Callithrix jacchus: one gene and its partners. The protein of the gene in region 2 interacts with the protein of the main gene of each other region in a pairwise test. Links are inferred from orthologs where the notes say so. Each region holds a gene or a part of one and is shown on either strand. Other genes may lie near its edges.

The links.
Region 1: the proteins of ZGPAT (region 2) and KRT15 interact in binary tests that used the Homo sapiens proteins (3 or more experiments, as listed by UniProt). The two-hybrid records come from large-scale screens. The link is inferred for Callithrix jacchus from reciprocal best matches to the Homo sapiens genes ZGPAT and KRT15.
Region 3: the proteins of ZGPAT (region 2) and AMOTL2 interact in binary tests that used the Homo sapiens proteins (3 or more experiments, as listed by UniProt). The two-hybrid records come from large-scale screens. The link is inferred for Callithrix jacchus from reciprocal best matches to the Homo sapiens genes ZGPAT and AMOTL2.

Annotation. Positions count from the first base shown.
Region 1 is NC_133506.1:91,737,685-91,741,970, reverse strand, and holds the start of KRT15 (keratin, type I cytoskeletal 15), read right to left. Parts: upstream 2,805-4,286; 5' UTR 2,714-2,804; coding exon 2,219-2,713; intron 1,103-2,218; coding exon 1,020-1,102; intron 898-1,019; coding exon 741-897; intron 200-740; coding exon 38-199; intron 1-37.
Region 2 is NC_133506.1:59,226,010-59,228,801, reverse strand, and holds the end of ZGPAT (zinc finger CCCH-type with G patch domain-containing protein), read right to left. Parts: intron 2,633-2,792; coding exon 2,477-2,632; intron 1,654-2,476; coding exon 1,534-1,653; intron 1,450-1,533; coding exon 1,047-1,449; intron 858-1,046; coding exon 719-857; 3' UTR 504-718; downstream 1-503. UniProt on the Homo sapiens protein: Transcription repressor that specifically binds the 5'-GGAG[GA]A[GA]A-3' consensus sequence. Represses transcription by recruiting the chromatin multiprotein complex NuRD to target promoters.
Region 3 is NC_133518.1:49,808,356-49,812,648, reverse strand, and holds the start of AMOTL2 (angiomotin-like protein 2), read right to left. Parts: upstream 2,805-4,293; 5' UTR 2,682-2,804; intron 2,423-2,681; exon of another isoform or gene 1,937-2,422; intron 1,623-1,936; exon of another isoform or gene 1,581-1,622; intron 1-1,580. UniProt on the Homo sapiens protein: Regulates the translocation of phosphorylated SRC to peripheral cell-matrix adhesion sites. Required for proper architecture of actin filaments.

The DNA.
Region 1 (4,286 bases), about 33 Mb from region 2:
GCAGGGCAGGGCAGGGCAGGGCAAGGGTCAGGCCCACCTTGCTGAAGAACCAGGCCTCAGCATCCTGGCGGTTCTTCTCCGCTATGGCCTCGTACTGCTCCCGCATCTCCGCCAGCACGCGGGTCAGGTCCACGCCCGGTGCCGCGTCCATCTCCACGTTGACCTGGCCGGCCAGCTGGTTGCTAAACTCCTTCATCTCCTGCAGGGTGGAAGGGGCCCATTTAGAGATGGAGAACAGAAGAGAGACCTGAGAGTCTGCATTCCCACATGCCAATCCTGGCTCTTCCCCTAACACCCCAACCGCTGTTCCCCATTGCACACGAAGAGGTTTGGTCTCATGGACCCCTCAGCTCCGAGGAGCTCTCTGCTGCTCTAGGTCCTACCAAGGGAGGACCCCGAGATGGCAGGCCCCTGATGTGAGCTCACAAAGCCAGTCAGGAAGATAGCCATTCATACTAGCCACCCGGCTTGGCTGTGGTCTGGGCTACTAGGGAACAGTGCCCCTTCCTCTCCATGAGGATACCTGGTTGGGGGCAAGGGGGGTGTTTCTGAACCACTAAGCCCCAGGCCAACTATGAGGAAGCACCGGCAGCCCCACTCTGCCTCCCACAACTTAATCTTGGGAAAATCTGGGAGGGCTTCCTGGAGCCAAAGTCGTTCCCTCTGGGCAATTTAAGTGCGTTTTGGGAAGAGGTTCCCCACCTCTCTCAGGTTCAGGGATGATGGGGGCCACCTCTCACCTCCTCGTGGTTCCTCTTCAGGTAGGCCAGCTCCTCATTCAGGCCCTCGATCTGCATCTCCAGGTCAGTTCTGGCCAGGGTCAGCTCATCCAGCACGCGGCGCAGGCCATTGATGTCAGCCTCCACGCCCTGGCGCAGGGCCAGCTCATTCTCATACCTGAGAGGAGAGAGGGAGGCCAAAAAAGGAAGTGGGAGGGGTCTGGGCCGCCTGAGTCAGAGCCAGGAGAAGACCAAGGAAAGTGGGCAATGCAGGAAGAGTTGAGGGAGGAGGGAGCGCACTTGAGCCTGAAGTCGTCCGCAGCCAGCCTGGCGTTGTCGATTTCCAGGATGACCCGGGAGTTGTCAATGGTGGTGGCCATGATCTGCAGGAGACAGAGTTGGTGCCTAGAGGACTCCTCTCTCTCCCCTGCTGCTCTCTGCTCTGCACCCAAAGCCAGCCCCTCACTAACAGTCACCACCAGCAAACATCTGTAGGGCCTCTGGGGTGGGCAGAGTCCAGCCTCATCTTGAGTGTCCATTTCTTGTTCTGCCACATGCCAGCCTCCTTGAGACACCTGAGGAGCTGCCCTCCTTGTCTCCAGGGCATGAAAGACCAAGGAGGCAGTACTGCCTATGGGAATTGGTAGCCCCAGAGAGTGAAGAGTGAGGTGTAGTCAGCTCTGACAATGACCCTCTCAGAGACACTCCACCAGCCCCCCCGTGGACCAAGTCATGGCCACTGCCTCCTGCACACCTTGACACAGCCATGGATCTGCAGAACATTCCAGCCAGTGGCAACCTAGAGGGCAGCTAAAGAAGGCATTTTGCCAATGAGGAACCCAGTCTCAGGGAGTAAAACGGTGAGTGAGTGGGTGGCAGAATGGGTAATGGGTTCCCAGGTCTCTGAAGCCCAACAGTACTTTTAGCACAAAAGCCCTCTTTACAGGAAAACACAAGAGGCATCTGGGACTCATGAGGCTGCACTCCAATCCTTTTCTTGCCAAAGAGATAAAGAAATACTTTATGCAGAAGCCTGCAGCGTACATGAGGTAGGCAGGGTGAGTTGCTCGTTTTAATTATTATTATTATTATTTTTTAATTAGAGACAGGTTCTCACTCTGTAGCTAGGCCAGAGTGCAATGGCACAGCCACAGCTCACTGAGACTCTAACTCCTGGGCACAAACAATCCTGTCACCTTGGCCTCCAAAGCACTGGGATTACAGGTGTGAGCCACTGCACCCGGCAAGCTGCTCTTTACAATTGCCCCCAACTGTGCCCCCGTTGGTCCTAACCAGATTCCCAAGACCCCTCCCTCCCTCCCCCAACACCAGCCTCTGCACTGGACAGCAGGTGCATTCCAAATTTGCTGAGGCTACACACCAGACAGTCGTTGCCTGGGCAGGAAAGGATTTTCTCGAGTCAGCAGCGACACTGACGTTAGAGGCATGTGCAGGGCGCCAGCCACCTGCTCCCCTCTCTTTGACATCTGAGGACTCACCTTGTCCCGGAGCTCTTCAATGGTCTTGAAGTAGTGGCTGTAGTCACGTTCTGGGCTGGTCGGGGCCTGCTTCTGGTACCAGTCCCGGATCTTCACCTCCAGGTCAGCATTGGCCTCCTCCAGGGCACGAACCTTGTCCAGGTAGGAGGCTAGGCGGTCGTTGAGGTTCTGCATGGTGATCTTCTCATTGCCAGAGAGGAGGCCACCATCGCCACCACCAAAGCCACCACCAAAACCCCCACCAATGCCACCTCCAAAGCCTCCACTGAAACCACTACCAGCCCCTCCGCCAAAGCCACTGCTCATGCCACCCCCATATGCCCCTCCTGACCCTGAAGAGACAAACCTAGCAGAAGAAGCTGAGATACTTCGGCTTCCACCTCTCCCATAGAGACTCCCCCCACCAAAGCCCCCTCCCCTCGCCAGGAGGGAACCCCCTTGGATAGAGCCACCCCCAAACATGGAGGAAGAAGTTTGCAGAAATGTGGTGGTCATGGCCAGGTAGCCAGTGCCAGTGAGTTCTCAACAAGCCCAAGAGATGCTGGCAGGAGGTGCCGGGCCAGGCTGCACTCAGAGCAGGGCATCTGCCACCCCCCAGCTGGGGCTCCTTATATACCCCTCTAAGGGTATTGTGGGACCTGGTCTCCTCCCCCAAAGCAAAGCCAACTCCTTCTGCCTTCCTGACAAACACAGCTGCCTGCACACCCTGAGTGGCTCCTGTGAAGTTTTTCTCTTCTGTTTTTTTTCTAATGCAACAAAAGAGATGATTCAGAATTAATGGTGTTTTCCCCCAGGGCACCGTTTTAACACTTGGATTACAGGTTCATCTCTCCATGCCAGAAGAGAGCAACAGGGAGCGAACGGCTACCAAGGCCTCTGCCTGTACAGAGAGCAGCTCAGGCCAACTGTGCCCTCAGCTGGACTTGTCCACTGCCCCGAGCCCTGAGCTTTTCCCCAAGGGGACAGCTCTGTGTTCTCAGTTTGGGAGTTACCACTTCCCAATCATTACGCTGTGTTATCCAACTCGAAATCCTGTGAGTGAGTGAGTGAGTGAGTGAGTGAGTGAGTGAGTGAGTGAGTGAGGAGGCCTCTGGGAATGGGAATGCAGCGTCTCTGGGGGCAAGTAGAGGACAGAAGCCAGGGTCCAGCTGAAGTGACCAGAGGAGCCAGCATTTGTCCCTTCCCTGGTGTGGGAGAGGGACTCTCCTCCTCCCACCCCTACTCCCCTCCTGCCAGCCTCCAGCCTGTGTCCCTGGCACGCTCACAAAAGCCCAGCAGGCTCAGGGTTGACAAGGGGATGATTGATGATCCCGACACCTGCCAGCTGCACGTCGCTGAACTTTTGCTCGATTCTGGGATGCGTTGGGGCAAACCTCCGCTGATAAGGCTGGGGCGAGTTCCAGGAAGCCCCTGCCTTCTCCAAGAGAGGCATGTCACTGCTTAGCAGGGCCAGATTAGCCCCCATCTGTCCTGTCAAGTGCTGGCTGGGGAGGAGCCACTGCAGAAGGCTCTATGTACCTGAGTGCTGTGGAAGGAAGGACAAGAGGCTGGCAGGCAGGCTGGAAGACACTGGAGATCTCAAAGACCAAGGCATCACTTCACACAGATGGGGGAGTTGAACACTCAGGAGAGCCCTTTTCTCTGCCACCAGCTCAGGAAAACCTTTCCAGGGACACCTGATACCTGTGGGCAATGCCACTTGGAGGTGTGGCTCGGCCCTCTGGACCTGGCCCCATGGCTTACAAAAACTCAGGACGTGGATTCCTAACCCAGGTTGCAGCATGGTGAAGTGGACAGGGCTCTGGGGCCCCTCAGGCTTGGGTTTAAATCCTGGCTCTATCAATTACTGGGGTAAGACTGTGAGGCCTGGGTTTAAATCCTGACTCTACCAATTACCGTGGTAAGACTGTGGACATTTACCTTTTTAAGTCTCAGTTTACCTGTGGCAAGGGGTGCTCCCAACTCTCACTCTCCAGGGAAGCCCGGAGGCCCAAGAGCCCCCATCCTGCCTCCTCTTGGATCCCCACCCTGGTGCCAGATATGCAGGGGCCAGGGTGCATGACCGACA
Region 2 (2,792 bases):
CTTCAGCTGAACGCCCCATCTCATCACTTCCTGTACGTCTCCGAGCGCCTCCCCTGCAGCCTCCCACCCTGGGCAGCAGCCACCACCGCAGCCTCACCCACCTGTTGCACCCTACCCGAGGCCTAGAGGAAACGTGTGTGCCTCTAGCCTGCACTGTTGAGAGCCTAACTCACAACCCCTCCACACATGGAGAGGTGAGTAGAGCTGGCACAGAACCCACAGACCAGGTCCACCTGCCTCACCAAGAGCCCCACATGGTGGGCCACAGTCCTCCCACCCTCGCCTGCTGGAGCAGCACTGAGCTCCACCCATCTGTGGGTGTCAGGCAGCTCTGCCCATCTGTGCCTGGCAGGCAACCTGGCCTCTGATCCGCCTTGGTCAGAGAAGAGAGAACGCTGGCCTCCTAGGCCCCTGCAGCCCAGTCAGCCTCTCACCACAGCCCCGCACAGACCCTTCTCTTCCCAGAGGCCCTGCAGCCAGCTGATCTCCACTGAATGACACTGTGATGGAAAACTCTTTAATGTCCTTGCCAAGGAAATGCCCAAGACACTGGCAGACAGGCAGGTAATTGTCCAGATGGGGCCCTGCAGCCCTGTCTCCACTCAGCAGCGTCTGCATGCCCCAGGCCAGCAGGCCAGTCCTCCTTGGGCAACATGGGTTTTCCAGTGCGGAGGGCAGCCCGCGCTGGGTCCACCTTCCCCATAGTGCTTGTGGGTCTCTAGAACTCAGTCATCTTCTTGTGGGTGTCTGCCTTCCTCTGCTCCTGCTGCAGGCCCGCTTCCTGAGCCCGGAGCTGCCCCAGCTGCCGCTGGGCTCCCGCCAGCTTCTCCTGCAGCTGGGCTGACGCAACGCTATGCCTGGGGAGGGGCCCACCAGTCAGTGTGGCTCCTGGGCCACTGCCACCAATCCCAGGCTGCCGTGCCCACCACACGTCCTCCAACATCCAGACCCCTCCTGGACTCCGCCCACCACACCTGGGTCAGGTGACCTCCCGCACGTGTACTGGAGGCATGGCCACCCTGGGCTGCCCTCTGCCCCACACATACCGGCCAGCATTGCGGGCAAGGGCCTCCTGGATGCTCCTGATGTCCCGCTGGGTTCGCTCGATCTTCTCCTCGGTCTGGAAGAGCCGCAGGCTCAGGGCCCGCTTGGTGCTCTTGCTGGCACGGTACATATCCTTGCTCCTTCTCCCTGAGGGGGCCACCCCAGCCTCCAGGGCCCCAGGAGCCTGGCCTTGCAGCTTTTCATTGAGGAAGTCAAACACGTTCCGCGGGGGTAGGCGGCCCCCAGCCCTGGCCCCTCTTCTGCGGCATCTGGGGGGCTTGGTGCCAGCCTTGCCAACCCTGGTCCGCTTCTGCAGGATCTCTGCACACTGGTCCAGCGACTTCCCTCGAGGCAGCACCACGGCGTGGATGGGCTCCACCCGGCCTTCGGCGTGTCGGCCCAAACCTGAGGGGATGGTATTGCTGTGTGCTGTGGGACCCCAGCTGTGCTGCAGCCAACCCCCACCTCTCAAGGAAAGCGGGCACTCACCCTTGCCAAACTCATAGCCCATCTTGGCGAGGAGTCTGGAGCCTATGCCTCGCGTGTGTACCTCCCAGCCAGCAAAAGCAGAGCTGCAGGTCCCGGAGTCCACAGTGTCTGACCCCACCACTGCAAAAGATGGGACAGAGGGCAGTGGCTGGGCCAGGCCAGAGGACTGTGCATCGTGACTGGGGCTCTGGCCCATGAGCTTAGCTCCTGGGCAGAGCCCCAACACCCCACCTCTTGGGCTCTGCACTCTGTCACCGAGGTCTGCTGTGGGCATGTGACACCAGGCAGAGTTCGTGGCAGTCCCCATGGCCTGGTGCACCGTGGCCCTTCCTTTACAGCCCTCTCCTGCCCCTGCCCTTCTCCGCCTTTGCGGGGCCATGAGCTCCTACCTGCCCTCAGAGTCCTCGGTCAACTCCTCCTTCAATGGGAACATGGGGCTTCAGAAGTCACCAACTCACATCACTGATCCCTGGGTACACCTCCCTGTCTAATTGACCACTCTGGAGAGCTGGACACTGCCCACCAGTTCCCAGTCCCGAAACTTCCACTCTAGCTGCCCAGACACAACCTCTGTCTGCTAGGCTCCACCGGGTACCCAGGTCCCAAGTCTGAGAAGCCTTTCAAAGAAGCTGTCCCTCTTGCACTCCAGGCCCCAGCAGTTGGTCATTTCTGTAACTTCCTTGGGAACTCTAGGCCCCTCCTCCCACGGCCACGGCCTCCCATCAGTGAGGCTGTAGCTGTTGCACCCTCACACTCCTTCAAGTCAAAGGTCACAATGGATCTACCCCGGCCTTCACTCATGCTCCTGCACCCTGACCCCACACTGCCTCCCCAGGCACAGCTGCCACCTGTGCTGAGCACAGCAGCCTCGCTGTAGTCCACACTCTGCAGTGGTTGGTGACCCCACCTTCCTGCCTCTTGGGCCCTTCAGCTGCTGCCATACCTCTGGCATAGCTGGAGTCGCCCGTGCCATCGCTGTCTGAGTCGGAGGACTCTGTGGCCTCTGTGCGCAGCGGGGGAAGGACACTGTCCCCCTCAACCACGGCCTCCCTCAGCAGCAGCGAGTCAAACTTGACTGTGTAGTAGCCACTGTCCACATCTGGGGGCAGAGACAAACTGCAGGTCAGCATCCCTGACAACAGCAGGTGCCACTGCTCAGGAGCCATGCGGGACATTGGGAACAAGGCAGGGCAGAGGCTGAGGGCAGATGTGCTCATTGCTGGCACAGAGCCAGAGTCCTGACACTCAACACAAAGGGG
Region 3 (4,293 bases), on a different chromosome or scaffold from region 2:
AGAGGCTTACTATTCCTGGAGAAAGACATAAGAAAACCAGAAGATAATCCACCAGGAACCACTGCCTCTATAGCCACCTACCCATCAAACAGCCTGATGAGCAATTCCAAGGCAGGCCTAGTTCAGATCTAACCACTTAGCTATTCAGTCTAGGGCTGGGTGGGGACCCAGTTTATTGGCAGGTGATACAGAAGGCATGTAGTCCAGTAGAAGCCCTAGGTGAAAGTCCTCCAGGACCCCCCCCAGAATGAAGCATGCCAGAGCCCAGCCCTGGCACAGTCAACCTACTACCCTCTAGCCCACTGAACCCCTGCCCACTTTTCTCACTCTCCCAGAACCAAAGAGCTCCTGGGGGGTGGGCCTGGGCTCTGCTTCATCAAGGGCTGCTGACAGAATGAATCCAGGACTCCCTGTCATGGGATGACCTTGGCAGTCATTCTGCAAGGTGAACAGGAAGGAGGAGGAATTGCACCTGAATTTCTGAATAAGGGATGAATAAAAAGGCTCGACAATGGTTTTGTGAGATGAGGCAGAAAGTTGCCACCCATTAAGGTCAGTGGGTCAGTCTTAGAGCTGACGGTAACTGCAAGAGAGCTCCAGGAAAAAGAAAGGATGGCACGACGTCTTTTATGATTATCCTCCCCAACACACACACATGCACGCACACACGCTACTTGGAAAAGCCCTCACTGGTCCTCTAAGCAAACAGAGGATGGGCTTTCAGCATCTTTCTTGACATCAGTGTCAAGGAAGATCATCTGGACTTGGGCTTTCTCCAACACAAATCTCCAAACTGGGATCCAGGGAAAACTAAACGGACTCCATACTGCCAAACATCCTGTGTGAACAGGCAGGGGTTGGTGGGGAGTGGGAGGAATGTGGCCCCTCCTCTGCCACAAAACTAGCCCGTGTCCTGCTTCAGTTTGGGTTATGGTATGTTGGCAGAACAGCCATTCCCAATCCTTTCCCTCTCCCCACCCCGGGCTCCAGCTGCCCAGAGCTGGGGACTGGGGTATGAGTCTGGAGGGCACCTCTGTACCAATCCTTCCTGGCACCCATTCATGCGCCCCCACACACAACGAGGGGTAGATATTGCAAGACTCCGGCGCTACCCGAGGCAAAGCAAGCAAACGGGATTTAATTCGCTCTGGAGTTTTATCTCGGGGCATTTCCTTAAGATAATTACTCTCTGGCCGACTCCCACAGAGGCTGCAAGGGAGCGGCCGGAAGGAATGCGGAGCCTTCCCGACAGATTCCGGGCGCTCCACAGTGTGCGGGGACTGGGAGCAAGGAACATCTCCAAGGCCTCGCGAATTTGTCCCGGCCAAGCCCCTCAGATTCACGACCTTTCAAATACCAAACGACCGAGCCTTAACTAAAACCTGCTTCCGCGCCCCCGGCCGCGCCCCTCTGCTGCGCTAGCGCGCTGAGCTCTCTGAAGGCTGCCTGTCTAAGCCAGCGCGCGTCGGCTGCCTTGGCCTGGGCTCCAGCTCGCCTAAGGAACCAAAGTGACAGTCTCCAAGCCGGGAGACTCTCGCACCCCAGCCAGGACTCCAGCTCCACCACGACCCCGGGCGGACCTGGATCGCCGGTGGTCGCGGGTACGCCTGGGGCTAGCCGGTGAGGGTAGCCCGTGGCCCGGAGAAGTCTTTAAGCATCGCGGGTCCGCCTCCCTCCCTCTCGAGCCCTCTTTGTTTTCCAAATACTCCAGCGCTGACGTCACCGGGCTGGACAGCAGGCTGCATTCTTTCTAGGTGAGAGCCAATTCGTGTCTCCAGAGAGGATTTTCCAAGGAAGACAAAGAGGAATTCTTGGACTAGTTGGAGGCAAAGGCACCTGTAACCCCCACCTAACCAAATCAACCCGCGAGACCCTGCAAATTGAACCCCAAGCGGCGCCTCCAGGCCTGTCCCCCGTCACCCCCACCCCGGCCTACCTGCAACCCGAAACACCGTCGCCTCTATAGAGTCTGCCCTCTCCGCTCTCCCCCAGCCCCGGGGGACCGGCGCGCTGCTAGAGCCCCGCAAAGCCAGGGGCGCTGGGCTCCCAGGCGGAGCGGCCCTTGCCTGGCACTGCGGCTGCCTCGAACGGGCGCACTACGCCCGGAGTACGCTCGATCCTCCGGGCTCCGACTCCCGGAAAAGGCCGGGCTGCGCCGAGACTCCGGCTTTGGCCGGGGCACGTCTCTGTGGCCTCGCGCGCTCTCCCCAGCGCCAAGCGGCCTTCCTTACCGCTGCGGCCCGCGGGTGCCCAGCACAGTCAGACACTGCAACCCCCGGCTCGGCCCTGCTCAGCTCGGCGGCGGAGATGTATTCTCGGCAGTGGCGCCGACGCTCTGGCAGTTCGCGCCCCAGCGCGCAGCCCCAGGGTCGGTCCGCGCTGGAGGCGGCTGTTATGCCAGGAATGTGAGAGTTTCAGGTTCCCCCTCGGGATCAAAGCGAACCACAAATAACCTCTCAGCGCGCCGCCCTCCTCCGCCCTCCGCCTCCTCCAGCTCCCTCCTCCCGTCCCCCGCCTTCCTCCCGGGAGGCGGCGCTGCTGGCTGAGCGCCGGGCCGGCCCCTGAGCTCCGTTCCTCCGCACTCAGCGCCCTCCAGGCCGCAGTGTGTCCGCCCCTGCCCCCCGCTTTGCGATCGGAGCTGCTGGAGACAATTTAATACAACTCGGCCCATTATTGCTTACACCCCTAGTCGCCGACCCGCTCTCCACCCTTCATCCCGAAACCCATCGACGGAACGATACAGCAAGGGCTGTGCCACGCTTGTCCCGGGGTTGCTGCGGGAGAGGCTCCGGCTGTGCGTGTGTGTGTAAACCGGGGGAGGGGGTAAGGGAAGAAGGACCGCAAAGACGTCTATATCCTCAGGGCTGGGAGCTTGTCCCGGGAGAAGTGAATACTTCCAGCCTCCGAGCCTCTCTTTCCCCTAACCCCCAGTGCTTTCACCCCCGCGGCAACCTTTGAATTGCACTTTTGTTTACAAACACCTTCACCAGCTCTTTTACGAACCTTCTCCACAGGAAGCGTGAATCTGTGTTGGAAAATCCTGTCAATTTGATCCATCTACCCAACCGAATCTCCCGCCGCCAGGCGCTCTGTCCACCTCTTCCCCAAGATAATAGGCGCCCCTTTACGCAGAGCGCAGGGTGTGCCACCGCCGGCTTTTCTCCCAGTCAAGCGATCCAGCCTTGCCTAGCATCCTCCAACGGAGTTCTGTTATCATCCCTGTGTTATAAATGAGGACACCAGGGCTCAGAGAGCTTAAGCAGGGTGCCCAGAGTCACACAGAAAGAACCAGACAACCAACCAGGGGCTGCTTGGGTTTTCATTCTCAAAACCCCTCCGTTGCCATCAGAATCCGGGCTCCCTAGATGGACTGGGCAGACGCCAGGAACCTTCCTCTTTCCACCTGCCCGCTCCTTGTTTTAGTCTCTTCTTTACCTCCCCCTACACCCCTGCCAGCCAGCGGCCTTCCCTTGTATCCACTTCTGTGGCTCCTGCATGGAATCTTCTTCTCTGCCCCCAGGACACTTCGTCTGCTAGGTGCAAACCCCTTCTTCAGAAAGCCTTCACTGACACACCCTGTCCCAGTTCCCACTACACAGGGCCTCTCTACAAGTCAGTTGGGCTGAAGTGGGGGCAGTCAGGCCCCTGTCCACCCAGAGAGTCAGGGCTGATTTCTTCTTCCCCTGGCTGGGTCCTCCCCTCAGCATGGAGTTTGCAATTCCCAAATTCACCGGAGGGAACCAGGGACAAGGAAACTCTGGAAGCTTAATAGCCAGGGACATTGTTAATTTTTAATAAAACTCCCACAAAAAGTGTGTGTGTGTTTTACTTGGAAGCCAAATACTGTTTCAAATAGTGATTGCATCTGAGATGATTGAGCAAATGGGTCATTTGTGAAGAGGTCTCTGGGTGGCCTTACCTTATGGACAGTGTAATTGGTGGAGGAGGGGAATGGTTGTGGACATGTGTACTCTGGGTTGTAAAATCTCGGGAAAGATCACGTCTTTCAGGCATTTGGGGGGATACCTCACAACATGTTTGACAAATATTCTTGAGATGGTTGCAGAAAGGCATCAGTTCAAGGCAGCTAGAGCAAAGGGGGTACATCTTGGAGTGGACAGGCCTGCTGCAGAGCCACACAGGTCCCCATGATTGCTTATTTCTACCTCCCAAGGGGACAGAAGGGGGAGAGGGATCCCAAAACCTAAATGAGAAATGTGCATGTACTTTTCTTATTTTTCCCTTCTCTTTTTCTCTGCATGAAGAATGGAGGGCAGCATCTTCCAAGCATGG